Linked DNA regions of Anolis sagrei. The protein of the gene in region 4 interacts with the protein of the main gene of each other region in a pairwise test. Links are inferred from orthologs where the notes say so. Each region holds a gene or a part of one and is shown on either strand. Other genes may lie near its edges. The genes, in order: CEP95, SCNM1, LMO4 and MTUS2.

Region 1 (7,877 bases), on a different chromosome or scaffold from region 4:
ATTAACATTTAATTTACAGGTTTAAAAAGGCCTAAGGAAAAGTAACATTTTTAAAAGCAGATGGGAAAATATTTATTGAAGAAACATTGATAACTGACGATGTGATTGAATAATTATTTCAGTAAGGAGATGCTGAGGATATACGTTTTTATTGTTTTTATTGACTTGATATGAATTTATATTTTATATGCTAACGTTTTAAGTGTCACAATGTCTGCAGCCCCTCCCACAACAAAGAATTAAGGTCAAATTGCATACCAATACACAAATAAATATAGTAAGCAATTATATACATAACAAATAACCAGTAGACTAGAGGCTTGAGAAGGTTGCTGTTTCCATCAGGAAGAAGATTGTGTATAGAAGATTGTATGCTATACATAGCACACAAATATTACGAGATTCATAATAACTTTTCCCTCAAGATAGGTTTGATAAACTGCAGTTGTACAAGCTAAGTATCCAGATTAACTGTGTGTATCTATGTTGTATAATTAATCCAGTTTGAAACCACTTTACCTGATGTGGCCCAGTTCTGTAGGATGATGGGATTTGTAGTTTGGCAAGATCCCACAGAAGGCTAAAGACCTTGGGAAACTATAACTCCAGTGATTCCATCACATTCAGTGGTATCAGACTGCATTGATTCTACAGTGTAGATGCATCCAATGACAGCTGCACAATCAAACTGGGCCAACAGTATCCCCAGGATTTTATAAAGACCTTGCTGTGAAGTCAGAGGGGCACATAATTGTGATAAATCTATTATGAAGCAATCTAAAGGCATTCATGATCCCCTGAGCAGTTAGATGCTGCTCTTCCTCCTCCTAGTTGGGTTCCTACGCTTTTAATTGTTCAAATCCAACACAGCTTCAATAGATAAACTTTCTCCTGTCACTCCATTGCTTTGCTGGGGTAACTAGAATTTTCTAGATTTGACTTGTCAATTAAAAGCATAGTAGTCCCAGCTGAAAAAAGTATACCGACCTTTGAGATGTTCCATCGTGAAATCACTCCAAAATAACACCCCAAAAAGCTCAATTACACTAGAACAAAGGCACTCACAAGCAAGTCTATATTTTCCCTGTACCGCTTGCATGATTATAAGACGAGGCCATTACAGGCAGTCCCCAAGTTACAAAGAAGACAGTTTCTGTACGTTTATTCTTAAGTTAAATTTGTATGTAAGAACACATACATTTTGAAATGTAACTCCAGCCACATATTTCTATAAGCTTTGGACAGCATAGGGAAAAGTTAATAGCCCTGTGGTGTTTGTTTTGCTGCCCGTGACCCTGTTCAGAAGATTTCACCTCACCTTCTGTCCCTGTGATAATTGGATTTTGAAAAAAAAATAGTTTGTTGTGGAAACAAAGATTGGGGAGAAAGCTTAAGTGGAAACACCTTTTTCCCACTATAAGGAGTGAATTTTCTTTCCGAAGAGTAGATTTCTCTCACTTCCTGTTGTCTCACCCTCCTTAACTATGAGTCATTTGTAAGTCTGATGTTTGTAATTTGGGGACTCCCTGTTGTAATTTTCTGCATTATCATGTCAAACCTTGTCAATCGAATCTGCAAAGCAATGTTTTGGCAATAGTAGCAATTTATCCACTTATCATCACCATCAGTTACATCGATTGCAGAATAGTTGAAACATACAAAAGATCAACATTAACATAGAAACAATTTAAAATGTACAAGTCAATGGGTAAAAACCATTCAAAATGGTGCAGTCTTATAAAATTTTGCTCTGGTTGAGTTTCAACACACAAAACAAGACAATGTCCTCTTAAAAGTTATTTTCTTAGGTTACTATGTAATCCAGTTTCTGAATCCAGATGATTTGCTTTGAACTGGATTATCAACAGAGGCTGGACCTACGCTGCCATATAATCAGGTTCAAAGCAGATCATCTGGACTCAGAAAATTAATTACATAGCAGTATATTTTTTTTGCAAACTTTGAGTACTAAAGGTCTTGGAAACCTTTAGTGCTCAAAGTCTGCAAAAAAAAAAAAAAATTACAGGGCTTTGCCTGTCAATACAAAGACACCCAGGAGGGGTTAACATGTTGCCTGTTTATATGCCGGAAGTGAAGAGAGCAATGGAAAAGGTGTAGCAGCAATTCTAATACATTATTTTATATTGCTCGTAAATGAAAACATGAAACTGAAGGAGGAGAGCACTCACAATATTGATGGAACAGAGTACAGCTGGAAAGAAAGTGTAACCCCCCTTTAGACAATGGATTAAATGGGGCTCTTGCAGTACTAGGCAGTCACTGCATTGCCATCTTTCACAAGGGAAGAGAATACAACCGCCACAGAGGGCCTAGATTCAAATAATTCAAATTATAGGTGCTGCTACACTGTAGAATTATGGCAGTTTGACACCACTTTCACTGCCATGGCTTAAAGCTATGATACCATAAATACTGTTGTTTTTCAAGGTTTTTCTTTAGCCTTCTCTGCAAGAGTGCTGTGTCCTCACCAAACTACAAATTCCAGGATCCCAAGGCCTTAGTATTTTAGTAGGGTCTCCAAAATTATTAATTCCACACATACAACTTCCATTCTTCCATTCATTCCCACACATAATTATTAAATTAACATTTATCAAATCTGTACATTGAATTTCTTATTACAGTGCTGTGTCCTCACCAAACTACAAATCCCAGGATCCCAAAGCATTGAGCCATGGCATCTAAAGGGATATCATGATGCACTTATTCCACAGTGTAGATGCACTAAAAAGTAGGAACAGCCTCTTACCCCATTCTGTTTGACCCTCAACTTTCCCAACCACCCCCTTTTCCTGCCAAGCCGACTTCGTAAGGCTGCTATGCAGTTAAGGCCCCATCTACACTGCCCTATAATCCAGTTTCTGAATTCGGATTATCTGCTTCAAATTGGATTATATGGCAGTGCAGATCCAGCTTCAAGCCCCTTCCACACAGCTGAATAAAATCCTACATTATTTGCTTTGAACTGAAATATATGGCATTGTGGACTCAGACAACCCAGTTCAAAGCAGATATTTTGGGATTTTCTGCCTTGATATTCTGAGTTACATGGCTGTGTGGACAGGCCCTTAGACCCAGGTTTGGGTGGAGGGAAAAATCTAAGGGCCCTTCCACACAGCTGTACAAAATTCACATTTAACTGGATTGTATGGCAGTCCTTCCACACAGCCATATAATCCAGAATATCAAGGCGGAATAACCCAAAATATCTGCTTTGAACTGGGTTATCTGAGTCCACACATAGATAATGTGGGATTTTCTGACTTGATATTCTGGGATATAGGGCTGTGTGGAAGGGTCCTGGGTTATCTGTTTCCACAGTGCCATTTATCCCAGTTAAAAGCAGAAAATGTGGGGTTTTATTCAGCTGTGTGGAAGGGGCCTCAGATAACCCAGTTCAAAGCAGATAATGTGGGATTGTCTGCCTAGATATTCTGGGTTATAGGGCTGTGTGGAAGGGCCATCAGATAACCCAGTTCAAAGCGGATATTGTGGGATTGTCTGCCTAGATATTCTGGGTTATAGAGCTGTGTGAAAGAGCGAGTTCAAAGCAGATGTTGTGGGATTTCCTTCCTTGATATTCTGGGTTATAGGGCTGTGTGGAAGGGCCCTCAGATAACCCAGTTCAAAGCGGATATTGTGGGATTGTCTGCCTAGATATTCTGGGTTATAGAGCTGTGTGAAAGAGCGAGTTCAAAGCAGATATTGTGGGATTGTCTGCCTAGATATTCTGGGTTATAGAGCTGTGTGAAAGAGCGAGTTCAAAGCAGATGTTGTGGGATTTCCTTCCTTGATATTCTGGGTTATAGGGCTGTGTGGAAGGGCCCTCAGATAACCAAGTTCAAAGCAGAAATTGTGCTATTGTCTGCCTAGATATTCTGGGTTATAGGGTTGTGTAAAGGGCCCTCAGATAACCCAGTTCAAAGCAGATATTGTGGGATTGTCTGCCTAGATATTCTGGGTTATAGGGCTGTGTGGAAGGGCCCTCAGATAATCCAGTTCAAAGCGGATATTGTGGGATTGTCTGCCTAGCTATTCTGGGTTATAGAGCTGTGTGAAAGAGCGAGTTCAAAGCAGATGTTGTGGGATTTCCTTCCTTGATATTCTGGGTTATAGGGCTGTGTGGAAGGGCCCTCAGATAACCCAGTTCAAAGCGGATATTGTGGGATTGTCTGCCTAGATATTCTGGGTTATAGAGCTGTGTGAAAGAGCGAGTTCAAAGCAGATATTGTGGGATTGTCTGCCTAGCTATTCTGGGTTATAGAGCTGTGTGAAAGAGCGAGTTCAAAGCAGATGTTGTGGGATTTCCTTCCTTGATATTCTGGGTTATAGGGCTGTGTGGAAGGGCCCTCAGATAATCCAGTTCAAAGCGGATATTGTGGGATTGTCTGCCAAGCTATTCTGGGTTATAAAGCTGTGTGAAAGAGCGAGTTCAAAGCAGATGTTGTGGGATTTCCTTCCTTGATATTCTGGGTTATAGGGCTGTGTGGAAGGGCCCTAGGTCTATATTATAACCGTGCAGTTTTTAAGAGGAGAGATAGGATTGAAATTAAGTAAAACAGCCTAACATGGAGGGCAAAGGTCAAGAACAGCCACCATCATTATACCCTCCTCCTCACAGGCACCCAGTTCCCGCCCCAGCGGCCTAAATTGCGCGCGCCACCCTTTCTCAGAAGCGCGCGCCGCGTTGCCACGGCAACGGGACCAGGCCGAGGAAATAAACAGCCCGGCCGGCTGTCTCTTTTATCATTGGAACACAAGGCCGGAAGTAGGACACTGACTCGAGTGATTGCGAATCTACGAAAGCAACCACAGGAAGCCCCGCCTCTTCCTCTCCAGACCGGCCAATCCCTTCGCAGAAGGCCGTGGGGCGGTGAAGGGTTTAAATCTCTTCAGGCGAGGGGCCGGGGGTGGTTGGATATCAGTTGAAGAAGGCAGGCCTGGGCGGAACCGTGACATGGGCCCCACTGAGGAAAAAGGTGGGCCCTCAGGGAAGGGGAGGGGGTTATTGTCCTTGCTCAGGAGAGCTCCTTGGGGTGTGTTTGCTCCCTGAGGTAGAGCAAGGACGTCGTAGAGCTAGAGGGGGAATGCCTGGGCCACTCAAAGTGCACCTACACTGTAGAATTCATGCAGTTTGAGCCCGCTGCAACTCGCTCCTGTTGTGAGAGAATTGGCCGTCTGCAAGGACGTTGCCCAAGGGACACCCGGATGATTTGATGTTTTTGTCATCCTTGTGGGAGGCTTCTCTCATGTCCCCGCATGAGGAGCTGGAGCTGACAGAGGGAGCTCATCCACCTCTCTCCGGATTTGAACCTGCGACCTGTCAGTCTTCAGTCCTGCCGGCACAGGGGCTTAACCCACTGCGCCACCGGGGGCTGAGTGCTGTGGAGTTATGTCATTTGTATTTTTTACTTTTAAGGACTTAGACTCTGACATAGATTAGGTATCCCCTTTCCTCAATTCTTGGGACTAGAAGTGTTGGAATACTTGCATGTGCATAACGAGATATTCTGTAGGCGGGTGTTGTATGTCTCATATACACCGTACTCTTATAACACTAGCTGTCCCCTGCCAGGCGTTGCTGTGGCCCAGTCTAGTGATCTGGAAAATAAATTAATGAGAAAGTGTTGGTTTCTAATATATGTAATTTCTTTATGCTTGTGGGTAAACAGTACTTTTTGCTGTTTCTTTGTCAGTGTTGATGTGGAGATGGTCTGGTTTGCCCACCCTGGAACATGCAAGATATCATTGTCCTTCTTTAGGGGTCCCTTTCAAATCTATGATACTATATCTCTGTGCGCGTTAATCATATCGATCTATCTATATCTATGGCTGGATGGCTCTTTGTCATCTTTGTCAGGAGAGCTTTGATGACGTTTTCTTGTCCTGGTGAAGGGAGTTGGACTGGATGGCCTTAAATATTTTCTGTTGGTCATGGGGGTTCTGTGTGGGAAGTTTGCCCCGATTCTGTCGTTCAGAACACTCTTTGATTGTAGGTGAACTGTGAATCCCAGCAACTACAACTCTCAAATGTCAAGGTCTATTTCCCCCAAACTCCATCTGTGTTCATATTTGGGCATATGGAATATTCGTGCCAAGTTTGGTACAGATCCATCATTGTTTGAGTCCACAGTGCTCTCTGAATGTAGGTGAACTACAACTCCAAAACTCAAGGTCAATGCCACCAAACCCTTCCAGTATTGGGTTGTTGTAGGTTTTGCTGGTTAAAGCAGTGCTACTCAAAGAGGTGATCTGTGAACCAGTAATGGTTCATGAGCCATCAGATTCTGGTTCTTTGTGAGTTTCCAAGAAAGCAATAGTTTAAGCAATGGTCACAAATATGGTACTACTCTCTGGCATATCAATGACAAGAATCCTATGCTTGTTCCTCCCATCACATAGATAAAACCCATCCTTCTTAGCCCTGTCCTCACAATAAATACAAAGTCTCTTCCCTACTTTATGGGCTACATGGCAGCAGGAGATCTGATGAAATATTTTGCTATTGTTATGCTAAGGCATATAGTTTCCATTCTTTTGAATGAAAAATTGAGCTTCCATTTTAAAATATTTTACATAGTTTTGATCTCTGTTATAGATTGTATTTTGCATTTGGCTACAGGTTCTCCTTATCCTCACCCATTTCCCAAATCCCAGACTTCCCAGCTTCTTGATAGATTGGACCTTGCATTTTTAAATGTGCCGTAATTCTGTATATATTTTTGTTAAAATTGAATTTGTTAGTATACCTTTGATTGCTTAGTTTTTGTATAGTATGGTATCCATTTAACAGCACTATTTATTTATTTATTTATTTATTTATTTATCGTGTCATCCGCAACCAGAACATTGTATTACATTTTTAAAAATAATTTTTATTGATTTATCACATTTATTACATACTATTGCATTTCGTACATCAGCCTCTTTAACATGTTGTTTTATTATTTTGCTTTGACATTTCCCCCACTTTTCTCTTTTTTTTGAGAATTGTGTTACAAAAAGAGAATTGTGTTACATTTCAGAACAAAACAAACAGATTAAAAAAAACAAACACAGCACTGTATCATCTTCATTTTTAATAATAACAAAACACCAATGTTAATATTGCACATCCTTGAACATTTTAAATTCTAAATACTATATACTATAATAGTCACTTAGAATTAAATCCCAATACATTAAATGGGAATGGCAGTTATGTGCTTTCAGTTCAACTCTGGCTTTTGGCAGCCCTATGGCAAGATTTATTCAGAGCAGGTTTGCCTCTGCCAAAGTCAGTCAGTCAGTGGGTTTCCATGGCTGAACAGTGATTCAAATGCTGGTCTCCTGGACTCTTGATCCATTACTCAAAACACCAGATCATGTTAGTTTTGAGGCTTATTCTTACTGGGAAATACAATGAGCATCAGCTGGGTTTAATTTCATGCTGTTCCCAAAAATAGCAAAATCCCTGGTTGCTTATTATCCGATTATGGTATATTAAAATGATGTCCCTTATATAACATGCCAAAGCAAGTTTTCAGTTTTGAAATTTTACACACACACACATGAATGACTGAATCTATGGATACAGAATTTGTGAATGTAAATGACCAAGTGTAGATACAGAAATTCAGCCCAAATTGGATTTTGTATCCTCTTGTCATTAAATCTTTTTTGAAGTTACTTCTGATTAGTCATGTATGTGATGTTACTGTAAAAAAGTACTGTTCTTGAAAAACAGAACCTATAGTCCGTTTATAGTTTTTATTTCTTGGCCTGTTCATTTGGCACTAGACTATATTGCCATTTGGACATAGATAGATTTGTTGCTTGGATCCCCTTCCAAATAGGAGGGAAAATGTGCAAAATTT
Region 2 (7,319 bases), on a different chromosome or scaffold from region 4:
GGAGGAAGCAAGGAGTACGATAGGTGGAAGGAGGGAAGGAAGGAAGGAAGGAAGGAAGGAAGGAAGGAAGGAAGGAAGGAGAAGGGATTGAGAGAAGGAAGGAAGGAGAGAGATGAGAAGAAGGAAGATGGGAGGAAGAATGGTAGAAAAAACAAATTGGGAGAAGGAAGGAGGAAAGGGAAAGAGGAAGCAAAGGGAGGGGATGAAGGGAGGAAAGGAGGAAGGAAGAGAGAGGGATGCTGACCTGCCATCTCTCAGGAGCAAGGCTTCGTCTTCCGGGATATAGTTGGCCAAAAGGTCCGCAACTCTTCTTTTCTGGAGGAGAAGAAAAAGATTTTAAAAGGAAGGAAAACTTTAAGACAAACAGGCCACCCAAAGCACTCTGCACATGCTCAGTGGGTGCCTTGCCTTGCCTTTTTGCCTGCTGGAAGCACAGGGCACCTCTGAGCATGCACAGAGTGCACCCAGCCTGCAGAGTTTGGCCACTGCTACCCCAGTTATTTCCACAGTGCATCTATACCAGGCATGGGCAAACTTCGGCTCTCCCTCCAGGTGTTTTGGACTACAACTCCCACAATTCCTAGAAGCCAAATTTGGACACAAGACGCCTCTCAGGCCAACGAGTGGCCATCACTCCTAAAAACAATGAAAAACACAACAGAAGGGACTTAAAAGCCAAAAAACAACACAAAACCAAAACATTACAATGCACGCGCAAAACCACACATATATACACAAACACACCTATATACCTACACACACACACAACACATACACGGAAAGAAGGAAGGAAGGAAGGAAGGAGAGAAGGAGGGAGAGAAAGAAGGAAAGAAAGGCAGAGAAGGAAGAAGGGAGAGAAAGAGGGAGAGAAGAAGGAGGGAAGGAAAAAGAAGGATAGAGAAGGAAGGAGGGAGAGAAGAAGGAGGGAAAAAGAGAAGGAAGGAAAAAAAGAATGGAGAAGGAAGGAGAGAAGGAGGGAGAGAAAGAGGGAAGGAGAGAAGGAAGGAAAGAAAGAAAGGTAGAGAAGGAAGGAGAGAGAGAAGAAGGAGGGAAAAAGAGAAGGAAGGAAAAAAAGAATGGTGAAGGAAGGAGAGAAGGAGGGAGAGAAAGAGGGAAGGAGAGAAGGAAGGAAAGAATGAAGGGTAGAGAAGAAAGGTGGGAGAGAAAGAGGGAGAGAAGAAGGAGGGAAGGAAAGAAAAAAGAAGGATAGAAAAAGAAGGAGAGAAAGAGGGAAAGAAGGAGGGAAGGAGTGAAAGAAGGAAAGAAAGAAAAGTAGAGAAGGAAGGAGAGAGAGAAGGAGGAGGGAAAAATAGAAGGAAGGAGAGAAAGAGGGAAGGAGAGAAGGAAGGAAAGAAGGAAAGAAAGAAAGAAAGGTAGAGAAGGAAGGTGGGAGAGAAAGAGGGAGAGAAGAAGGAGGGAAGATTGAGAAGGAAAGAAAAAAGGATAGAGAAAGAAGGAAGGAGAGAAGGAGGGAAAGAAGGAGGGAAGGAGAGAAAGAAGGAAGGAAAGAAAGAAAAGTAGAGAAGGAAGGAGAGAGAGAAGAAGGAGGGGAAAAGAGAAGGAAGGGAAAAAATGGAGAAGGAAGGAGAGAAGGAGGGAGAGAAAGAGGGAAGGAGAGAAGGAAGGAAAGAAGGGTATATAGAAGGAAGGAAGAAAGGAGGGAAGGAAGGAAAGAGAAAGAATGAAATAAAAAAGGGAAAGAGGGAAAGAAGGAGAGAAGGAGCAAAAGAGAGAAAGAGAGAGGGAAGGAAGAAAGGAGACAAGGAAGGATGGAACCACAGAGCAAAGGAAGCGAGAAAAGAAACAGGTAGGGAAGAAAGAAAGAAGAAGGGAAAGAAAAAGAGGAAAGGAAGGAAAGAAGGAAGGAAGAAAGGAGAGAAAGAAGGAGGGAAGTTTGGCCACAGCAACGCGTGGCAGGTACAGCTAATAATATTATAAACATTATATGCATATACAATATATTATATTATAATGCAGTGTACATGCACTGTGGCCAAACTCTGCAGGCTGGGAGCACTCTGTACATGCTCAGAGGCACCCTGTGCTTTCCAGCAAGCAAAAAGGCAAGGCAAAATAGCGACTGAGCATGTGCAAAGTGCTTTGGGTGGCTTGTTTACATAGTCCTTGGCTCAGAGGTGCCCTGTGCTTTCCAGCAAACTAAAAGGCAAGGCAGCCACTGAGCATGTGCAGAGTGCTTTGGGTGGCTTACATAGGATCTGGATTTTGCAGGAAATGGCAACTATTCAACATGGGAAACAGCATGGACCCTTTCCAAAGGAATAATATGGCATTTTACCCCCAAATGGACCCCTCTTTTGCCCCCACTTCCTTTCCCACTCACCTTGAGGACGTTGAGTTGGCTGGGGTCGTCTCCTTCCCTCTTGAAGGACATCCTTTCCCCCTAAAATAAAAGAAAAAACACCCCAAATTATGCAAGGTTTCCCTTCTAAAGTTGCAAAAATCCCAGGACTACAACTCCCATTGTGCACTACAACTCCCAGCATGCATTAAAACCCCCAATTGCTTGCACCAAACAGGGCTCTGCTTCTGAGAGACTGCATCACCCCCAAACTATGCAATGCTTACCTTCTAGCGTTGCAAACATCCCAGGACTACAACTCCCATTGTGCACTACAACTCCCAGCATGCACTACAACTCTCTGTTGTTTGCACTACTCAGGGCACTGCATCTAAGAGACTGCACTGCTCCCAAATAATCTCTGCTTCCCTTCTAGCGTTGCAAACATCCCAGGACTACAACTCCCATTGTGCACTACAACTCCCAGCATGCACTAAAACCCCCAATTGTTTGCATCAATCAGGGCTCTGCTTCTAAGAAACTGCATCACCTCCAAACAATGCAATGTTTACCTTCTAGCGTTGCAAACATCCCAGGACTACAACTCCCAGTGTGCACTACAACTCCCAGCATGCACTACAACTCTCAGTTGCTTGCACCAATCAGGGCTTTGCTTCCAAGAGACTGCATTGCCCGAAATGCCTCTGGGCTCTTTCTTTCCCTTGTTTACTTCCTGGAGAGGGGAAAGAACTACATCTCCCATCATGCCTTGCTCAAAATGGAGCATGATGGGAAATGTAGTCCTTTCTCCCAAAATCACTTATATCTTTCCCCTAAATGCAAAATTTGCCTGGATTGGGTGCAAATTGCCTGGATTTGGGGGTTTCAAATTGGAAGGAAAGGAGAGAAAGGGTTTGATTTTATTTTCCTGGCTTCCAAAGTGTTTTGAGTGCAAAGACTACAAATCCCAGGATCCTTTGCGCGGGAGGGGAGGCGGGGCTTGGGAGTCGGTTGCAAGGCAGGCTTTGGGTCCAACAGCTTCTTGGCTGGGAGAATCTCTCTCTATTGATAAGTATCCTCTTTGGAGCCATTGATCCTTATTGATTGGCAGCAGGGGTGATGGGTGATTGACATCTGTCTGTGGCTGGAACCAAAACAGACATATTTCTGGGGAAATTATATCTATTTATATATAATTATATTCTATATATATATATAGAATTATATTGCATATATAATTATATATAATTATAATCAATATATATATATTATATAGATATATATAGATATCTACATAGGGTTGGGTGTCCAAGAGGAGACCATTGGTTGTGGTCTCCTCTTATGAGCCAGGAAATTGATTGGGATTGGAGATCAATAGATCTGAATTGGATTGGAAAAGGCTTGATCAAAGCTGGCGGGGAGGTTTGTGGATCCTGGGTAGATACCTAGAGAGATAGATCAAGGTTGGCAGGGCTTTGTTTACCTTTTGAGACGGGGACGATGGGCCTTTAGAAGGGCCACTCCACCATGGCAAGAAGTGGGGTCCAAACTTAGGGGTCTTGCTGGGTTTTAGGGTCTTGGAGAAGGCCTTTGGGGTCAAGCTTTTGGGGTCTTGGAGAAGGCCTTTGGGGTCAAGCTTTTGGGGTCTTGGAGAAGGCCTTTGGGGTCAAGCTTTTGAGATCTTGGAGAAGGTCTTTCGGATCAAGCTTCTAAGAACCTGGAAGGACCTTTGGGGTGAAGTTTTTGGTGTCTTGGAGAAGGCCTTTAGGGTCAAGCTTTTAGGGCCCTTTAGGGTGAAGCCTCTGGGTCCCTGGAAAGGTCTTTAGGGTCAACCTTCTAGGGACTTGGAAGGACCTTTGGGGTGAAGCTTCTAGGGACTTGGAAGGACCTTTAGGGTCAAGCTTTTGAGGTCTTGGAGAAGGTCTTTCAGATCAAGCTTCTAGGGACTTGGAAGGACCTTTGGGATCAAGCTTTTGGGGTCTTGGAGAAGGCCTTTAGGGTCAAGCTTTTAGGGTCTTGGAAGGACCTTTAGGGTCAAGCTTCTAGGGACTTGGAAGGACCTTTAGGGTCAAGCTTCTGGTGTCTTGGAGAAGGCCTTTGTGGTCAAGCTTTTGGGATCTTGGAAGGACCTTTGGGGTCTAGCTTTTGAGGTCTTGGAGAAGGCCTTTCGGATCAAGCTTCTGGGGACTTGGAAGGACCTTTTGGGGTCAAGCTTTTATGGCCCTTTAGGGTGAAGCTTCTGGGTCTCTGGAAAGGTCTTTGGGGTCAACCTTCTAGGGACTTGGAAGGACCTTTAGGATCAAGCTTTTGGGGTCTTGGAAAGGCCTTTAGGGTCAAGCTTCTAGGGACTTGGAAGGACCTTTGGGATCAAGCTTCTAGGGCCTTGGAAGGACCTTTGGGGTCAAGTTTTTGGGATCTTGGAAAGATCTTTGAAGTCAAGCTTTTGGGGTCTTGGAGAAGGCCTTTGGGGTCAAGCTTCTAGGGTCTTGGAAGGACCTTTCGGATCAAACTTCTAGGGTCTTGGAAGGACCTTTAGGATCAAGCTTTTAGGGCCTTCAAAAGACCTTTGGAGTCAAGTTTTAGGGCCCTTTAGGGTCACGCCCTGGAAAGGTCTTTAGGGATTTATTTATTTTGGGGGGAAAAGGGATGTCCTCTCCGTCGAAGCCCGCTTCCCCCGGAGGAGCCGGGTTGCTGCAAGGGAGCCGGACCCGATCCTATGGCAGCCTGGTCAAGACAGTCAGCTCGCCCGTGCGGGAAAGGCGGCTGGAGCATCGCCTCGAACCTGGGGATACCCTCCAAGGCCTGGCGGTCAAGTACGGGGTCACGGTGAGTCTTGGCACATCATTGCATGGATACATAGCATGAGTATCCATGGCGTGGCTTGACTACAGTCCATGTCAAAGAAGTTGTGTTGACCCCCTAACCATAACATTATTTTCGTTGAGAAGAGCAATCGCCGTGATCAAAGGTCTGAAAAACTAGAAGGAGTGACTTTGGGAGCTGGAGAAGCAAAAGTGAAAGTTGAGAGTCATGTTTACATATTTGAAAGGATTTCCCATTGAGGAGGGGGAAGGCTGTTCTGGACACTAGGACATAGATAGGGGACAGGGATGGATGGATGGATGGATAGACGACAGAGATAGATGATAGATAGATAGATAGATAGATAGATAGAGGACATGGATGGATGGATGGATAGATAGAGCAATAGATAGAGGACAGGAATGGATGAATGGATAGATGGATGGAGAGATAGATAGATAGATAGATAGATAGATAGATAGATAGATAGATAGACAACAGAGATAGATAGATAGATAAATAGATGGATGGATGGATAGAGGACATGGATGGATGGATGGATGGATAGAGAAATAGATAGAGGACAGGAAAGGATGAATGGATAGATAGATGGATGGATGGATAGATAGATAGACGACAGAGATAGATAGATAGATAGATAGATAGATAGATAGAGGACATAGATGGATGGATAGATGGATAGAGAAATAGATAGAGGACAGGGAAGGATGAATTGATAGATGGATTGATAGATAGATAGATAGATAGATAGATAGATAGATAGATAGATAGATGTGATGGATGGATGGATGGATGGATGGATGGATGGATGATGGATGGATGGAGAAATAGATAGAGGACAGGGATGGATGAATGGATAGATGGTTGGATGGATGGATGGATGGATAGATAGATAGATAGATAGATAGATAGAGGACATGGATGGATGGATGGATGGATGGATGGATGGATGGATGGTTGGAGAAATAGACGACAGGGATGGATGAATGGATGGATAGATAGATAGATAGATAGATAGAGGTGATGGATGGATGGATGGATGGATGGATGGATGGATGGATGGAGAAATAGATAGAGGACAGGGATGGATGAATGGATAGATGGTTGGTTGGATGGATGGATGGATAGATAGACAACAGAGATAGATAGATAGATAGACAGATAGATTGACAAATAGATAGATAGATAGATAGATAGATAGATAGAGAGAGTGAGAGAGAGAGGACATGGATGGATGAATTGATGGATGGATGGATGGATGGATAGACAGACAGATAGACGACAGAGATAGATAGATAGATAGATAGATAGATAGATAGATAGATAGATAGATAGATAGAGGAGCATTGAGCTATCGTTTCGCTTAACCGCCTTTCTGATCCGATTCCAGACCGAGCAGATCAAGCGGGCCAACCGTCTCTACACCAACGACTCCATTTTCCTGAAAAAGACTCTCTTCATCCCAGTGCCGATGGAGCCGAAGTCCTTGTCGAACGGGTTGAACCTTGACGAGGACGAAGAGGAGAAGGAGGAGGGAGAGCAGGCCACAACCGCAAAAGCGGGAGATGAGCTGGGACCTGGAGTCCCCGAAACCCCCAAGAAGCAGAAGCACCCTCGGAAGAACGGGTCCTCGAGCGGCGTCCCCAAACATGACCTCTCAGCCTCGGACTTCCTCTTCAAACTGGACTCTGAGATCCGCCGCTCGAAGCAGGCCGCCACCAAGAAGCTGCGGGACGGGGAGAGCCTGTGAGTGCCTTTTCGTCTCACTTGTAATTTGAAAACGATGGCTTTTACATGATGCAACCCAGATTTAGGTGGCTCGGTGTAAGCGAGCCAAGTTGCGAAAGGGGATGAGGATCAATAATAATAATAATAGTAATAATATATGCTTTATTATTATTATTTTATTTATTATTAATAAAATTAATAATGTGTGACAAGTTTGGTTCAATTCCACTGTTGGTGGAGTTCAGAATGCTCTTTGATTGTAGGCGAACTATAAATCCCAGCAACTACAACTCCCAAATGTCAAGGCTATTTTCCCCAAACTCCACATTTGGGCATATTGAGTATTCGTGCAAAGTTTGGTCATTGTTTGAGCCCACAGTGCTCTCTGGATGTAAGTGAACTACAAATTCCAAACTCAAGGTCAATGCCCACCAAATCCTTCCAGTATTTTTGGTTGGTCACGGGAGTT
Region 3 (7,916 bases), on a different chromosome or scaffold from region 4:
TAAAATTTTATGGGGTATTAATAACAGCGAGTTACAGTAGCATTAATTTTTAAGCTGAACTCCCCATTGATTTCAACAAGGAGTACTTAAAAATCAATGGCCACTGCTTTGATGAGTGGGACGCTGCTCACATGGGTGGGTTTTGAAAAAAAAACTTTTCCAATCAGAGGATCGAATTTTGTCCCAAGGAGCACAGCACATAAGGAGCTGGTGAAGTGTTAAGTGTGTGAATCCAAAATTGCTCTCTGCAATTTCCGGGGAATACGCAGCCTAGTAGGCCTCACCCCATATTACTTTAATATCAACATAATCAGCATTAATACCTCTGGTTTGCTCTTTAGAGTAGTCCCACTCCATTGACATCAGGCTGCCTGCCCTGGAGTAAGTGATTTGCAGAGGTCTCTCTTGATTATCTGCACCTTCTTTACTGTCTTATTCAATGTTATTCATTATCTAAATCCAAATTAACTGCACTAACATGGTTTACAGAAGGAAGAGAGACTTCTAAAGCATGGGAATTTTGTTCCAAATAGATCAACATTTTTTTTTACATACATGAATCTTTGGATTCAAAAGTCCGAGTTCCTCCATGATCAAAGAAGGCTTGCAAATACTTATCTGTTCACCTTGGACAGGTAAGCAATCTGTCTAGACAACCAGACAGGAAAGCCGATTCTTTGGGGCCAGAAATGACTGAGAAAAGTGCCTGTAAATGAGTGATTTGGTAATTTTTCTCAGCAGACTTGAAGGCTAAATGATCGCTTGTATTATAAACATAAAGGATATTAGTCCAGTAGTCTGTATACGTACAATGAGACTTGGAGAGGGAGATCCAAAGTTATGTTCACCCTGCTTAACCAATTAACCTGTTTATGTTATTTATTAACATGAATATTTTTCTTATTATCTAGCATTATGTTTACGTTTAATGTATTAAAATTTACATTAAAATATTCGATTTATTTTTAAAATGTTAGATTATATTATTGTCTGGCATGGAAATGCTGTATCAGCCTGCTCAAATTTTAAGATAAGCGGGGAGGGCTTTCTCTTGGTCCCACCCTGTGACAAGGACTAAAAGTGAATCTACACTGCACAATTAATGCCATTTGACACCACTTTAACTGCCATGGCTCAATTCTATGGAACCCTGAGTACTGTAATTTTGTGAGGTACCAGCACAGAGATGGCTAAACACGACAACTCCCATGATTTCACAGCATTGAACCATAGCAGTTACAGTGGTGTCAAACTTGATTATTTCTAGTGTAGATTTACTCAAAGAAGATCTTCTTTATGGCTTCTCCTAGGCATTCCCTCCTACAAGAATCTTGTTTGGTTCTTCTTCCACCTGCAGGCAAAGACCTTTTTGTTTAGGCCTCTGGCTGCAAATTTGCTGTTGTAGAAAGATCTCTTAATGGCATGTGTTGTTCTTCCATATTCATGAGTCATGTTTTAAAGTAGTGCCTTTTAAAACATATTATTTTGAAATTTTGCACCATACATTGTTTTATCTATACTCCGTTTGTAAATATACTGAAAGCCACCTTGAGTTCCATATTGGAAGAAAGGTGGGATAGAAATTACAGTAATTCATGTACTTTAGATATATTATTTTCAAAAAGTGGCTTACAAACTACTCATCATTTCTAAGTTGGGATGCTCCAAGTTTTTGCACTAATATGAAAAACCATGCTGTACTGATTTGTTGTATATCTGTAGGAAATATATATATATCTGCTGCCCTAGATAATAGGATTGGAGCAATAGGTTCAAAGAACAAGAAAGGAGATTCTACCTGAACATTAGGAAAAACTTTCAGACCGTGAGAGCTGTTCAATTGTGGAACTCTCTGCCTCTGTGTGTGACGGAGGGTCTTTCTTTGAACGCTTTTAAACAGAAGTTGGGTGGCCATCTATTTGGAGTGCTTGATTGTGCTTTTTCTGCAGGGCAAGGGCTTGGGCTGGATGGCCCATGTGGTTTCTTCCAACTCTATGATTCTATGAAAAATATTGACTAGGAAAGTCCTACGCTTGTTGGAGCAGACTACAAAACCTGTTGTGTCTGAAAGCACCTTTCTTGGTGTGATAAAGTACAAGGAGGTACAAAGGAGGACCTCTTGGGCCCCATCTGCATTGCTATTTGCAAATGGTATTACATGATCAGTGTAAACCAGGCATGGGCAAACTTCGACCCTCCAGATGTTTTGGACTTCAACTCCCACAATTCCTAACATTGTGAGAGTTGAAGTCCAAAACACCTGGAGGGCTGAAGTTTGCCCATGCCTGGTGTAGACTCATATAACACTGTTAAACTGCGTTAGATGAGTCAACACTGATCATATAATGCCATTTCAAACCTCCTGTCATCTGTTGTGTAGTCCACTGGGTGGCTCTGGCCTAGCTAATACACAGGGCACTTTTGCAGACAGGTGCTGCACACCTCGAAAAGCATATGAAACACAGACTCCAGATAAAGCTATCCCTGGTCTGAAAAGCCTGGGATCAGAGGTTTAGTTCCCACTTCCCTCCGCCCCCGATTTTTGAAATACTTCTCTTTGCACATCCGTTCACAATTGGAGGTGAGACCGGAGTCTAAACATGGTGTTCATTTATGTCTCATATATATCTTTTAAGGTCTGAAGGCAATTTTATACACAGTATTTCAAATAATTTAGTGCATGAAACTACGTGTGAGTATAGTGACCCATCAGAAAGCAAAGGCATCCCTACCTCCGCCACCCAAGTGGATGACTTTTTAATATTTCTGGATGTTGGAATCCCAAATAAGGGATGCTCAATGTACATGGCTGGAGTTCTGTTTGATAAGAGAAGAGCATTCTTCCCTCTGAGCTTAGGAAGCATATATTTATGTAGAAATTGTTGGAGCCTTCAAGGAATCATTGAGTGTGTGTGTGTCAATTGCAAAATAAGATGCATGAATCTGATTGGTCAGGCAATGCCTGAGCTGAGCCTGGGACTTTTGGTTACCGTTACATTTTTGTTCAGCAGAGCTATGCAGGTGTCCAGCAGAGAGAGAAGAGTAAAGCACCCAGAGAGATAGCTTAGAGTGTACTCTTGCTTAATGAGCTGCTGTAGGAATTTCTCCACATGGACAAAGACCATTTTAAATCTCTCATAAAAGGACATTATGTGAGTTGATGCAACTGAACACATTGTAAATATGTTGTTCTGATTGACAAAGAGTAAACTACTTTTTTTTTCGCTGTTCATCTGCGTGGCTTATTTTCTTTCTCTGGCAAGGCAGTGTGTGAGCTGATCAAATGTGAACTACACGTGGTTTATTTTACATTACGCCACAGAAATGACAACTAAATAAAATGGGATTTTATTGCAGAGGAAGCATCCCTATAAACAGTGATAGAAGCTTGTCCCATCAACCCTAGTCAGTACAGGCAGTCCCTGAGTTACAAGTATCCGACTTACAAACGGCTCATAGTTAAGAACAAGGATGAGACAACAAGAAATGGTTATATTTTATGGTATGCTCTATATTGTTGCCTGTTGGAAGCCATCCTGAGTCCTTCTTCGGAGGTTGAGAAGGACGGGGTATTAATGTTTTAAATAAATAATAAATAAGTGAAAGAAATCTACCTCTAGGATGGGAAATTCATTCCTGAAAGAGTTATCATTGGAAAAGGTGTCTCCACTGAAGCTGTATTACGAATTCTTGCTTCCGCAAGCCAAATTTTTTGATAGGGCTGTGTGGAAGGGCCTTTGGGACATCTACAAGAAAGGACAAGAAACTACAAGAAAGGAGATTCCATCTGAACATTAGGAAGAGCTTCCTGACTGTGAGGGCTGTTCAGAAGTGGAACTCTCTGCCCCAGAGTGTGGTAGAAGCTCCTTCTTTGGAGGCTTTTAAACAGAGGCTGGATGGTGCTTTGTCAGAAGTGCTTCTTGGACTGGATGGCCCATGAGGTCTCTTCCAACTCTTTGATCTGCACAGTGGAATTCATGCAGTTTGGCCCTGCTTTAACTGCCAAGGCTCAATGCTATCCATTTCTGGGAGTTATAGTTTGTTGATGCTCCTGGGGAGGAGAATCATAGAGTTGGAAGAGACCTCATGGGCCATCCAGTCAAACCCTCGGCCAAGAAGCAGGAAAATTGCATTCAAAGCACCCCCAACAGATGGCCATCCAGCCTCTGTTTCAAAGCTTCCAAAGAAGGAGCCTCCACCACACTCCGGGGCAGAGAGTTCCACAGTCAGGAAGTTCTTCCTAATATTCAGATGGAATCTCCTCTCTTGTAGTCTGAAGCCATTGTTGTGCGTCCTAGTCTCCAGGGAAGCAGAAAACAAGCTTGCTCCCTCCTCCCTATGACTTCCTCTCACGCATTTATACATGGCTATCATGTCTCCTCTCAGCCTTCTCGTTTTCAGGCTAAACATACCCAGCTCTTTCAGCCGCTCCTCGTAGGGCTTGTTCTCGAGACCCTTGGTCATTTTAGTTGCCCTCATCTGAACACATTTCAGCTTCTCAACATCTCCCTTCAATTTTGGTGGCCAGAATTGGACACAGTATTCCAGATGTGGTCTAACCAAGGCAGAATAGAGGGGTAGCATGACTTCCCTAGATGCAGATACTAGACTCCTATTGATGCAGGCCAAAATCCCACTGGCTTTAGAGAAGGCTCTAAAAAAAACAGAGGAATGAGGCAGAGTAGTTAAAGCGGTGTGGAAGCGCGTTAAGAGTAGAGAGAAGCACCCTTCTCTCTATTCGATTCCTCCTCCTCCCCCCTCCTGCTTCGGCCTTTTCCCCGCCCCCTGGTTCCTTCGCCCTGCTCGCGATTGGGCGGTTTTATTATTCCGCCTGAACAAGCGGCGCGGGGATTGGGCGAGGCGCTGTGACGCGGGGGGCCGAGCTGCGGACTTGTTGGGATTTTGCTCTGTCAGTAACACATGGGCCAGAAGAGCGCAGAGGCGGAGGAGGGAGAGGAGCAGCAGAAGCCGAGCAAGCAGAGCCAGAGCCAGAGCCAGAGCGGGGCCTCCCTGCGCGCGTCCCGCCGACCACAGCGACGCCACCGCGGCCACAACTCCTCCTCTTCCCTCCACTTCGAGAGCAGGAAGGAGCGCCGACCCAGCCTGGGAGCCGGAGCTGTTCCGCTTCCCGCCCGCTGAACCAACCCGCCGCTTTCGGGACTTTTAAACACCGAGGAGCCCATTTTGGAAGAGGAAGAGGAAGAGGGAGGACCCGGGCTCGGAGGAGGAGCAGCAGCAGCAGCAGCGGGCCAAAACTTAGCCGCCGAGGAAGGGAAGGAAGGAGGGAAGGAAGCAGGAAGGAAGGACGGACTCACTCGCTTGCTTGCTGACTCCGGAGGCGAGAGACGCGAGAGAAGGGGCGCTGCTTCTCCCCCTCTCGCCCGCGCCGTGCGGGCTCGCTCGCTGCCTTGCTCCGTCAACAACCTCCCCCTTTTCCCGCCTCTCCGCTTTCTGGCCACGAAGAGCCTCCCCGCCTTTCCTCCACCACGTTATCCTCGGCCTCTTGCACCATAGAGGGGAAACAGGTACGGCGGCTTCGGCGGGCCCTTGCCCTTCCTTTCCCTTGCCCTTGCCCTCCTTCCTTCCTCCCTTCGTCTCCCCGCATTTGGAAGCCAAACAAGCCCGTCAACTCCCCCCCCCCTCCTTTGCACTTCTTTCTTCGCAGCTAAACACTCCTTGGGAAACAGTGGCAAGAGAAAGAAATCTCAAGTGAGGAGGAGGAGGAGGAGGCATTTTCTTTCCTCCCTCCCTCTCTCTCTCTCCCCCCGGATCGAGCTGATTTCAAAACAAGCCGTGAATTAAAGCATCCCATTATTATTATTTTCAATTTTTGGAGTTGCAAGCTGTGTCTCTATGAATAGTCTCTGTCAAAGGGCTCTCTCCTTCTCTATTTCTCCCCTCCCTCTATTTCTCTCCTTTCTCTCCCTCTATTTCTCTTCTTTCTCTCTCTTTCTCCTCTCCCCCTCCCTCTTTTTTCTCCCCCTCTCTCCTTCTCTTTCCCCTCTTTCTCCTCTCTCTCCCCCCTTCCTCTCTTCTTTCTCTTCCTCTTTTTTCTCTTCCTCTCCCCCTCTCTTCTCTCTCTCTCCCTTCTCTCCCTCTTTCTCCTTTCTCTCCCTTCTTTTTCTTTCTCTTCTCTCTCCCTCTCTCCCCCCTTTCTACCCTCTCTCTTCTTTCTCTCCCTCCCTTTCTCCTTTCCCTCTCCCGCTCTTTATTCTCTATCACTCTCCCTTCTTTCTCTTCTCTCTCCCTCTTTTTCTCCTCTCCTTCTCTCTCTCCCTTGCTTTCTCCTCTCCGGTCTCTCTCTTCTTTCTCTCCCCCTCTTCTTCTCTTTCTCCCCTCTCCCTCCCTTCTTTCTCTTCTCTCTCTCTCTCTCCCCCTTTCTAAACTCTCTCACTTCTTTCTCCCCCCCTCTCCTTTCCCTCTCCAGCTCTTTATTCTCTCTCACTCTCCCTTCTTTTTCTTCTCTCTCCCTCTTTCTCCCCTCTCCTTTCTCTTCCTATCTTGCTCTTTCTTCTCTCTCGCTCTCCCTTCTTTCTCCTCCCCAGTCTTTCTCTCCCCCTCTCTTTCTTCTTCTCTTTCTCCCCCTCTCTCTCCCTTCCTTCTTTCCCTCTCTTTCTCCCTCCCTTCCTCCCCCTCTCTTTTTCTCCCTCTGTGTGTGTTTCGCCTCTCCTTTTTGTTTCATTGCCTCTGTTTCCAGGACCCGAAATGGCTGTGTAATTACCAGAGCGAGGCTAGTTCAGTTAAAAGCTTTTCCTCCTCTCTGTCTCTCTCTTTCTCTCCCTGTGTGTGTGTATTTTTTCTCTTCCTTCTTTCCTGCCACCTCCCCAACTCTGCCTGAAACTTGATCAGGGCCCCCATCCTTCCTTCGTGAGCGAGGGAAGGAGTCACTTTCTGGTCAGTCCTCTTGATTCATCTCTTTTAGATCTAATCAGCATTAAGGTATTGCTTGTCCTTAAGAGCTTTGGCTTAATGGGGTTACTGGGTGCTTCTGTCAGGGTAACGTTTCCCCTTTAGGTACAATATTTACTTTTTCTTTTCCCACATAGACCCTGGTGGACAAGGCACAAGTGGGTTTGCATTTGAGGGGGACACTTTTGGGGTTCTTTACAGGAGGTGTGGAAATAGGATTTGTTTCTAATCAGAAAGTCAGAAAAAAAGGCCAGGTTCGTATTGCTGGAAATGGTAACAAAAGGCCATTTCGTGAGTTTAAATGCATCAGAAATCAATTTACATAAAGGTATATGATGCATTCAGAGAAATGCAATGCTAATGGCTTTTAGAGTGGTTCTCTTTCCCCCAAGTCTCGGGGTTTTTAGTTACAGTCTTAATTGGTGCAGTTCGCAGGCTGGTTTATTGTGTGGTCAACTGAACCATATGATCAGGAGTTATTTGGAAGGAAAACCTGCTTCTCTCGCTCTCTCTCTCTTAAAAAAGGCCTATTTTAAGGAAACTGCTGTTGTAACTAAGTTGAAAAAGTTTGCTATTCTGTTTCCTCCTATGTGTTGTTATAGCTGAATGCCTTAAAGTGAGCAGGGACCTTTAATGAAAGGAGAAACACTGCTAAATTGACAGTAAATAACTTGATATTTTTGATATCTGAATGCAGGCATGGGCAAACTTTGGCTTTCCAGGAGTTTTGGACTACAACTCCCACAATTCCTGGCCTCAGGCCCCTTCCTTTTCTCCCTCAGCCGCTTAAGCGGCTGAGGGGGAAAAGGAAAGGGCCTGAGGCCAGGAATTGTGGGAGTTGTAGTCCAAAACACCCGGAGGGCTGAAGTTTGCCCATGCCTGGTATAAAGGAATGAAGAAACCCAAGTCTGTTGGACTCCTCCGGGTGCATTAATCAGTTTCAAGCAAGCTTTATGAATTGTTTCCATTATTAATCTCCCCAGTGCCCTGCTTTTATGAAGAATGTA
Region 4 (7,806 bases):
AAAATTATTATTGCTCATGGTTTTAAACTGCTTTAATCTTGAAACACATTTTAATTTGAGTTGTTGTAAGTTTTTCAGGCTGTATGGCCATGTTCCAGAAGCATTCTCTCCTGAAGTTTCACCTGCATATATGGCAGGCATCCTCAGAGGTTGTGAGATCTGTTGGGAACTAGGAAAATATATCTTTGGAATATCCAGGGTGGGAGAAAGAACTCTTGTCTTTTTGGGGTAGGTGTGAATGTTTCAATTTGCCACCTTGGTTAGCATTTATAGCCTAGCAGTTTCAAGGTCTAGCTTTTTACTGCCTGGTGGAATCCTTCATTGAGAGGTGATTAGCTGTCCCTGATTATTTCTTGTCTGGAGTTCCCCTGTTTTTAGGTGTTGTTTCTTATTTACTTTTATGATTTTAGAGATTTTTTTAACACTGGTAGCCAGATTTTGTTCATTTTCATGGTTTCTTCCTTTCTGTTGAAATTGTTCACATGCTTGTAGATTTCAATGGCTTCATTAAAGGATAATAAAAACGGCCAATTGGAACATTCACACCTACCTCCAACAGACAAGATTTCTTTCTCCAACTCTGGACATTCCACAGATATATAAACCCCATTTTCCTAGTCTCCAACCTCTGAGGATGCCTGCCATAGATGCAGGCGAAACGTCAGGAGAGAATGCTTCTGGAACATGGCCATACAGCTCAAAACATTTACAACTACCCAGTTATTCCAGCCATGAAAACCTTCAACAATATATTTTTAATTTGCTCAATTGCTCGATATGCTCTTGTTTAACAAAACTATAACCAACAATATAATTTAGTTTGACCTGTCTCTTTCCCTGAGAACTCATGATAGAATAAACAGAGAAAATAAGATAAAATAGAATAAATGTCTAATGGGTCCACTTTAGATAGGATTAGCAATTGGATTTAATCCAGGCCATGGAATCATGCAGCCTTCCAGATGTTGTTAGACTATAGTTTCCTAACCAGCATAATAATCAATGATAAAAATGCTGGTAATTGTAACCCAACAACATCTGGAGAGCCATGTGATTCTCACTCTTAATTTAGATTTAAGCAAACTGTTTCAAAGCAGCAACAAAAGCTGCTATTTATGGAAATGTGGGAATTTATTCTGCAAGGCATCTTGGAAAGGTTACTCCTTTGGGCTACAACTCCCTGAAAATCTGTCAATCTGCTTCACTGCTTAAAAACTTTAAATACTTATTCCTCACTAAAAACAACAACAACAACAACAAAAAACAATCTTCAGTACAGTCTTTACTCTTCATCTTGGGTGAACATTAAAAGCGGAGTCATTTGGCTTCTTTCATTTCTCTGAATTTTGACCTGATTAGGCAGTACTCCAGTGCACAACTGCCCTAGCAATAATGAGAAGGGTTGCTCCCAATTTAATCACTACATGACTGGACACACCACCAGCTACAGCAGAGCGCCCATTCTGCAAGCAAAACTATGTTCTGAATCCATATAGCCTTTTTGTATTTCTTGTATCAGATTAAACTCCTGCTGTGATAAGATGCCCAAGCAGATTTGACTCCTGTTTCACACGTTTTGACTCTTGCTTGACATTAGCAAGGACATTATCTTGTGAGTACAGAACTTGAATTTTTCCATTCAACTTACTATTTTTTTCCCTGGTAAAGCATTCCAAAAGGCTGAAATTGGAAGCATTTACACTTTGAAAGGTCCTTGTTTGAGTCTGAATAGCAAACACATGCTTTTGGTGAAGTTGTTTCCAATGCCTTCTTTTGTCAGCTGGGCAGTGAATCTGCTTGAACTGGGATTTGAAAGGAACTCTCCAAGGTGCTGAACCTATTTTGAGACTAAGGTTCAGAACCATGAATAGCTCCTTTAAGGTGGAGTAGGCGGTTCATTGCTACACTGTCATGTGAGCTAAGAGTTGCCAGCCATTCTTTATCCCAGAATAAATGTTCTCTCAGAATGCCATTGACAGAACTTGAAAGTAGCTACTTACAAGTAACTATTTGTAATGAATTGTCAAAGGCTTTAATGGCTGGAATAACTGGTTGTGGCAGGTTTTTTGGGCTGTGTGGCCATGTTCTAGAAGCATTATCTCCTGACGTTTCTCCTGCCTCTATGGCAGGCATCCTTAGAGCTTGAGAGGTCTGTTGGAAATCAATTTGTAATTTGTAATGAATTTCTTTCTATAACAGTTAAAGTTTCAAGTAACAATTCTAATTTGATGAGACATAGCTTCATTCCTTTTACAATAGATCTGAAACTTTTAGGGTTATTTTTTGTTATAGGGTATGATCTCTCTAAATGGTGGAGGAGGAATATTATATAGCTGGTTTGTGATCAGTTGTCCCCAGCTCTGCTGTTATGTGGAGATGATGGTAGATGGGAGGAGACTCTATTTTGTATCAGAGGCTAGCATCCTGTAGCACCCGTATTAACACACACACACTCTCTCTCACACACCAATGTACTTTTCAATTACTTTCTAAGAAACTGTAACTTTGAAAAAACTATAACAGTAAATAGTAGCGCTTGAGTATAGTTCTTTAAATTCCACATTATGAGAAATGTTCTGATCAATCGAGCCAGATCTAGCACACAATGCCTGCTCTACCTCCAACCAACCTACTCAGGTCTTGCAGACTGAAGTCTTGAAGACTCTTGAAGACTCTGAAGACTTAAGTGACTGAGAAGGAAAAGGAATTGTGGGAGTTGAAGTCCAAAACACCTGGTGGGCCCAAGTTTGACCATGTCTGAGATATATTGAGCATGGTGATCAGATCATGATATGAATAAACATGGAGCTGCTCCATTCACCCTGTGATATGGATATGGAGAGGGGGAGAATGGATAGGAGCACATATGAGATAAGGGCCATCTGGACTGGGGGGAAACAAAACTGTAAGATAACAATGATGGGAATGAAATGTAGCCAGTAGGAAGGGGAATGGGTTAGGGTAATGATATACAAAGAATTTGGTGGGGAATCTTCAGGACTGTCTTCCTATTGCCAATGGTAAGACAGAAATAAAGCTGTATCCAAGGATTTGCCTTTGTGGATGTGCTCTTATTCCAAGAGCTTTCAGGTTCTGACAGGTTGGAGGTAGAGAAGGCATGGGCCCTCCAGGTGTTTTGGAGTTCAACTCCCACAATTCCCTCAGCTGCTCTATCTCCAGCCAACCTACTCAAGTCTTGGAAACTCAAGTCTTGCACACTCTTGCCGACTTAAATGGCTGAGGGGAAAAAGGAAAGGGCACAAGGCTGTTAGGAATTGTGGGAGTTGAAGTCCAAAACACCTGGAGGGCTGGAGTTTTCCCATGCCGGTGATAGAGTGACTTGGAAGTCTCTTATTCATGGGGTTACCATAATTTGGATTGGTGGCAAACAACAACAACAACAATGCTATTATCTCCAACCAAGCTACCCAGGTCTTGCAGACTCAAGACTATGACTTCTTTGACTGATTCCATCTATGTGTAATGTAGCTTTCCTCTTTTACTACTGCCTTCTACCGTGTTGGTGAGTAGGAAAAGAGATTTAAATATGGGCTCAAAGCCAACCTTAAAAACTCTGGCATAGACACTAAGAACTGGGAAGCCCTGGCCCTTGAGTGTTCCAGCTGGAGGTCAGCTGTGACCAGCAGTGCTGTAAATTTTGAAGAGGCACAGATGGAGGGTAAAAGAGAGAAACATGCCAAGAGGAAAGCGCGTCAAGCCAACCCTGACCGAGACCACCTTCCACCTGGAAACCAATACTCTCACTGTGGGAGAAGATACAGATCAAGAATAGGGCTCCACAGTCACCTACGGACCCACCGCCAGTACACCGATCTTGGAAGACAGTCTTACTCGGACAACGAGGGATCACCTAAGTAAGTACCTTACCAAGTATTATTATAATTTTTTTATTGAGTTATGTCCTTTCATGATATGACCCAATCTCCATTTAGTCACCTTGGCATCTAATTTTCAGCCTTGATTTGCTGTAGAACCCATAGATTTGTCTTTTTTGAAGTCCACGTAGCTTTCCTCTTTTCCTACTGCTTTCTACCTTACCAAGTATTATTATAATTATTGTCGAAGGCTTTCATGGCTGGAATCACTAGGTTCTTGTAGGTTTTTTCGGGTTATAGGGCCATGTAGTGAGGTCTACCTCTGAGGATGCTTGCCATAGATGCAGGCAAAACGTCAGGAGAAATGCCTCTAGAACATGGCCCTATAACCCGAAAAACCTATTATTATAATTTTCTATTGAGTTATACCATCTCATGATATGCCCCAAACCCCACAGTCTCTGTTTAGTCACCTTGGCATCTAATTGATTTGCTGTAGGTCCCATTGATTTGCCTTTTTAAAAAAGACCACAGTCTCCCTAGGAGCATAATTCCCCATTTCCAAGGTGCACACACCCTTCTCTTTCACAACCCTGAAACACTCCCAAAAACTCCTACATTCGCTGCCATAGCAACTAACCCACACAGATATGGGCCATATTTGGACTCCCATCTGTCTTTGGGAAGGGAGGGGGTCCTCGCAAGTGGAAGCAGCCTTTCTCTGCTTGTTTGTGAGCCCTTCTGCCCTTTCCAGCCTCCATTGGGGGGTTGGAGGGGATGGCCCTAGTGGTCTCTCTCAACTCTATGAGTCTGTGGGCTGATTGGGCGACGGATGGGCCTCGGATCCACACATCCTCCATGAGGAAAGCCCAGGCGAGAGGCGACAGGGATGGTTCAATAGTCCTGGATGGCCGGGAATAACCTCCCAGTCCGAGGGGACGGGAGCGCACAGCAGTCCGGGGAGAGGCTTTCCCTTTGCTGCCGGCGGAGGGCGCTCTTGCTCCCCCATTTGGACGCCGCAGTGGGGAGAAACAACCCACGGAAGGAGCCCAGCGCTTTGTGTGAGTGTGGGATTGCGCGCGTATATAATATGAGCTCTTCCCCAACATCCCTCTCCGCCGGAGCTGCTGCCACGCGTCTGGGCGGGATGTAATCTCGAGTGGGAGGGAAGGAAGGAGCCACGTCTCGGAGGGGAAACCGAGGGGGAGGTGGGCGGGGAAGGGTGTGTGCGTGCGTGTCTTCGGGTCCCTTTGTCCTGCCGAGGGGAGGACAGCTCCGTCGCAGAGCCAGCAGGTAAGTCGCTGCTCTTCTGGAGCATCCTTCCTCCGACTTGGGTCTTGGGTACCAAAGCTGGAGCAGGTCCTTCTGGCAAGGTGGGAAGCAACTGCGCGTGGGACTTGGAGCGGGGGCCACTTCAGGGGTCTTTCCTTCTGCCCATTGGGAGGGTAAGGGTTTGGGGAAAGTGCTGCCTTCATGCCGGGGAGCCCCTCCCAGCCCCTCCGACTCTTTCAAGGGAGATTGGATTCCTCCTGCGCAAGTTTTGGAAACCCTGCCCTTGAGTGTTTTCCTCCTTCGCCTTCAGCCACTTGCTATCCCAGAGGGGAAGCTTAAGACTCTAAATTAGCCGAATAGACACCGAAAGGCAGGCACAGAAGCAAAACAACCCCACGCCTGTCTCGCCCCCTCCCTTCCCCTCCGCACATTGTCCCTTGCCATCACTCACCTATTCTTCCCCAGTTTTCTCTCTCTCTTCTGAACGGGACAAGAAGGCGGTGGCCCTTTGCACACCAGCCTGTTATCTCTTCTTAGCATCCATCCTCGTTGTCATCCCCCCTCTCCATGTCTTTGTAGAGCTCTCTGTGTATTGAGTCTTTTTATAGCAGAGGAACCAAACTGAGGAGCAGGATTGGATTTATTTTTTTGTAATGTCAGGGGTGACTTGAGAAACTGCAAGTCGCTTCTGGTGTGAGAGAATTGGCTGTGTGCAAGGACGTTGCCCGGGGGACACCCGGATGTTTTGATGTTTTACCATCCTTGTGGGAGGTTTCTCTCATGTTCCCACATGGGGAGCTCAAGCTGAAAGAGAGCTCAAGCTGAAAGAGAGCTCATCCGCACTCTCCCCAGATTCGAACCTCTGACCTGTCGGTCTTTAATCTTGCCACTGCACCCCCAGGAGCTCCTAATGGGTTTGGTCATCAGAAAGCTCTTTCCAGTTGTCCTTTTGGACTGCACAAGAGAGAGTTGTGCATCTGGGTGATGATGGGGAGAGGGAAGGAGGTTGATGAACTCTTATATACCTTCCTTTCTGGCTGCAACAGGCACTAACTTCAAATGTTTACCTGCAATATATGTGTATGTTGTTGACTTTACCCATGCTGGTTGTTTACAGATGTCACATGCTACGCTGGTCAATTGGCTGGCTTGTGTTCTATATGTTTTTCAAATCACGCATTTTCCAATGTTGGAAATGAAGATCAGAGAGTGGTGGTGGCTTGAAAAGGCTTTGCACAAGTGACTTTTCCGTGCTTTTCTCCAGAGATAATCTCCCAAAGGATGTATTGCATGGATCAGTGTTGTCGAGCTTGGAGGTGGGAGGAAGGTGGAATAGAGACTGGGATCAAGTGGTAGATTTACAGATGATTGGTACTGAGATTCCAATGCACAGTGATTTCATAATCGCAGCATGAAAAGACTTCCAGATTTGCCTGCCGAGATGGAAGAAAGCTTGGGCAGGGATCCAGGAGTGGGTTTGCATATGACATGCTTGTGTGAGCTCAGTGCTGGTACTGAAAACAAATGTCAGGGTAGTACATGTGCCCGGAGGCACTCCACCCTCTTCGTTCTAATGCTTGCTATACAATTCTGTTGTCTCCCCCAGTTACCCACAAACTCCAGAGCCATTGTTTTGCACCAGGATCCACTTGGTAGCCATGTCTAGGGCACAATTCTGGTAGATCAACAACAAAAACAAAGTAGACTCTGTAGCCCTGAAGTCTGAGCATCCCATCTCAAATTTCATCATAGTGATATAGTGCTAGCTCTACACAAGCTGCTGTTTTACAGTTCCAGTGCCCATTCTCACCTGACAGATGGGAATAATATTATGTCTTGATCTATCTTCAGTGTTGTTGCATTATTATTGAAGTCATGTCTATAAAACACTACATACTTCCTTTTCTCCTCTCTGTTATTGTTGCTGCTGTTATTTGAAAATGCCAATTAACTGCCTGCAAGTATTTTTCCTATCATAACAACATACATTGGAGCAGCTGCTTCATACTCCAACTCAGGAAAAATAGTTTTGCTGTCCTTCCCATATCTTTTAATTTATTTTATTTATTATTTATCATATTTATACCGCGCCCTTCTCTCCCCAAAGTGGACTCAGAGCGGCTTTACACATAGGCAACAATTTGATGCCATCAAAACGACATATAGTTAAAATAAACAATTACATTAAAACCAAGAAATCAAACATCTAAACATTATACCAACTGTGAAAACCACGCAATCCACAATTGTAGTCCAGAGCCATTCCAGTAGTCATTGCACATATTTTGTATCCATTTATTGCACTACAGTTGTTATCTGAAGGCTTGGTCCCAAAGCCATATTTTTGCTTTCTTTCTGAAGGCCAGGAGGGAGGGGGCTGATTTAATATCACTGAGGAGGGAGTTCCACAGCCAGGGGTCACCACTGAGAAGGCCCTGTCTCTCGTCCCCACCAAGAGCACCTGCAAAGAAGGTGGCAAAGAAACCAGGGCCTCTCTGGTCAATCTTAACCTCTGTGATGGTTCATAGAGGGAAATACATTTAGACAAGTAAGCTGGACCAGAACTATTTAGGGCTTTATAGGCTAAAGCCAGCACTTTGAATTGTGCTCAGTAGCAGACTGGCATCCAGTGCAGCTTTAACCCCCCCCCCCCCCCCCACAAACAAGCAAGCAGACCTCACAACCTCTGAGGATGCCT

The links.
Region 1: the proteins of MTUS2 (region 4) and CEP95 interact in binary tests that used the Homo sapiens proteins (3 or more experiments, as listed by UniProt). The two-hybrid records come from large-scale screens. The link is inferred for Anolis sagrei from reciprocal best matches to the Homo sapiens genes MTUS2 and CEP95.
Region 2: the proteins of MTUS2 (region 4) and SCNM1 interact in binary tests that used the Homo sapiens proteins (3 or more experiments, as listed by UniProt). The two-hybrid records come from large-scale screens. The link is inferred for Anolis sagrei from reciprocal best matches to the Homo sapiens genes MTUS2 and SCNM1.
Region 3: the proteins of MTUS2 (region 4) and LMO4 interact in binary tests that used the Homo sapiens proteins (3 or more experiments, as listed by UniProt). The link is inferred for Anolis sagrei from reciprocal best matches to the Homo sapiens genes MTUS2 and LMO4.

What each region holds. Positions count from the first base shown.
Region 1 is NC_090022.1:179,773,390-179,781,266, forward strand, and holds the start of CEP95 (centrosomal protein of 95 kDa), read left to right. Parts: upstream 1-4,869; 5' UTR 4,870-4,978; coding exon 4,979-5,000; intron 5,001-7,877.
Region 2 is NC_090032.1:6,619,095-6,626,413, forward strand, and holds the start of SCNM1 (sodium channel modifier 1), read right to left. Parts: upstream 3,018-7,319; 5' UTR 2,587-3,017; intron 2,402-2,586; 5' UTR 2,393-2,401; coding exon 2,342-2,392; intron 316-2,341; coding exon 245-315; intron 1-244. Other genes in the region: LYSMD1 (lysM and putative peptidoglycan-binding domain-containing protein 1), read left to right, coding at 4,946-5,125, 6,513-6,868. UniProt on the Homo sapiens protein: As a component of the minor spliceosome, involved in the splicing of U12-type introns in pre-mRNAs. Plays a role in the regulation of primary cilia length and Hedgehog signaling.
Region 3 is NC_090024.1:153,051,156-153,059,071, reverse strand, and holds the start of LMO4 (LIM domain transcription factor LMO4), read left to right. Parts: upstream 1-4,904; 5' UTR 4,905-5,525; intron 5,526-6,916; exon of another isoform or gene 6,917-6,939; intron 6,940-7,916. UniProt on the Homo sapiens protein: Transcription cofactor. Plays a role in establishing motor neuron identity, in concert with MNX1, acting, at least in part, to disrupt LDB1-LHX3 complexes thereby negatively modulating interneuron genes in motor neurons.
Region 4 is NC_090023.1:31,861,157-31,868,962, forward strand, and holds the start of MTUS2 (microtubule-associated tumor suppressor candidate 2), read left to right. Parts: upstream 1-4,799; 5' UTR 4,800-4,897; intron 4,898-4,907; exon of another isoform or gene 4,908-5,129; intron 5,130-7,806. UniProt on the Homo sapiens protein: Binds microtubules. Together with MAPRE1 may target the microtubule depolymerase KIF2C to the plus-end of microtubules. May regulate the dynamics of microtubules at their growing distal tip.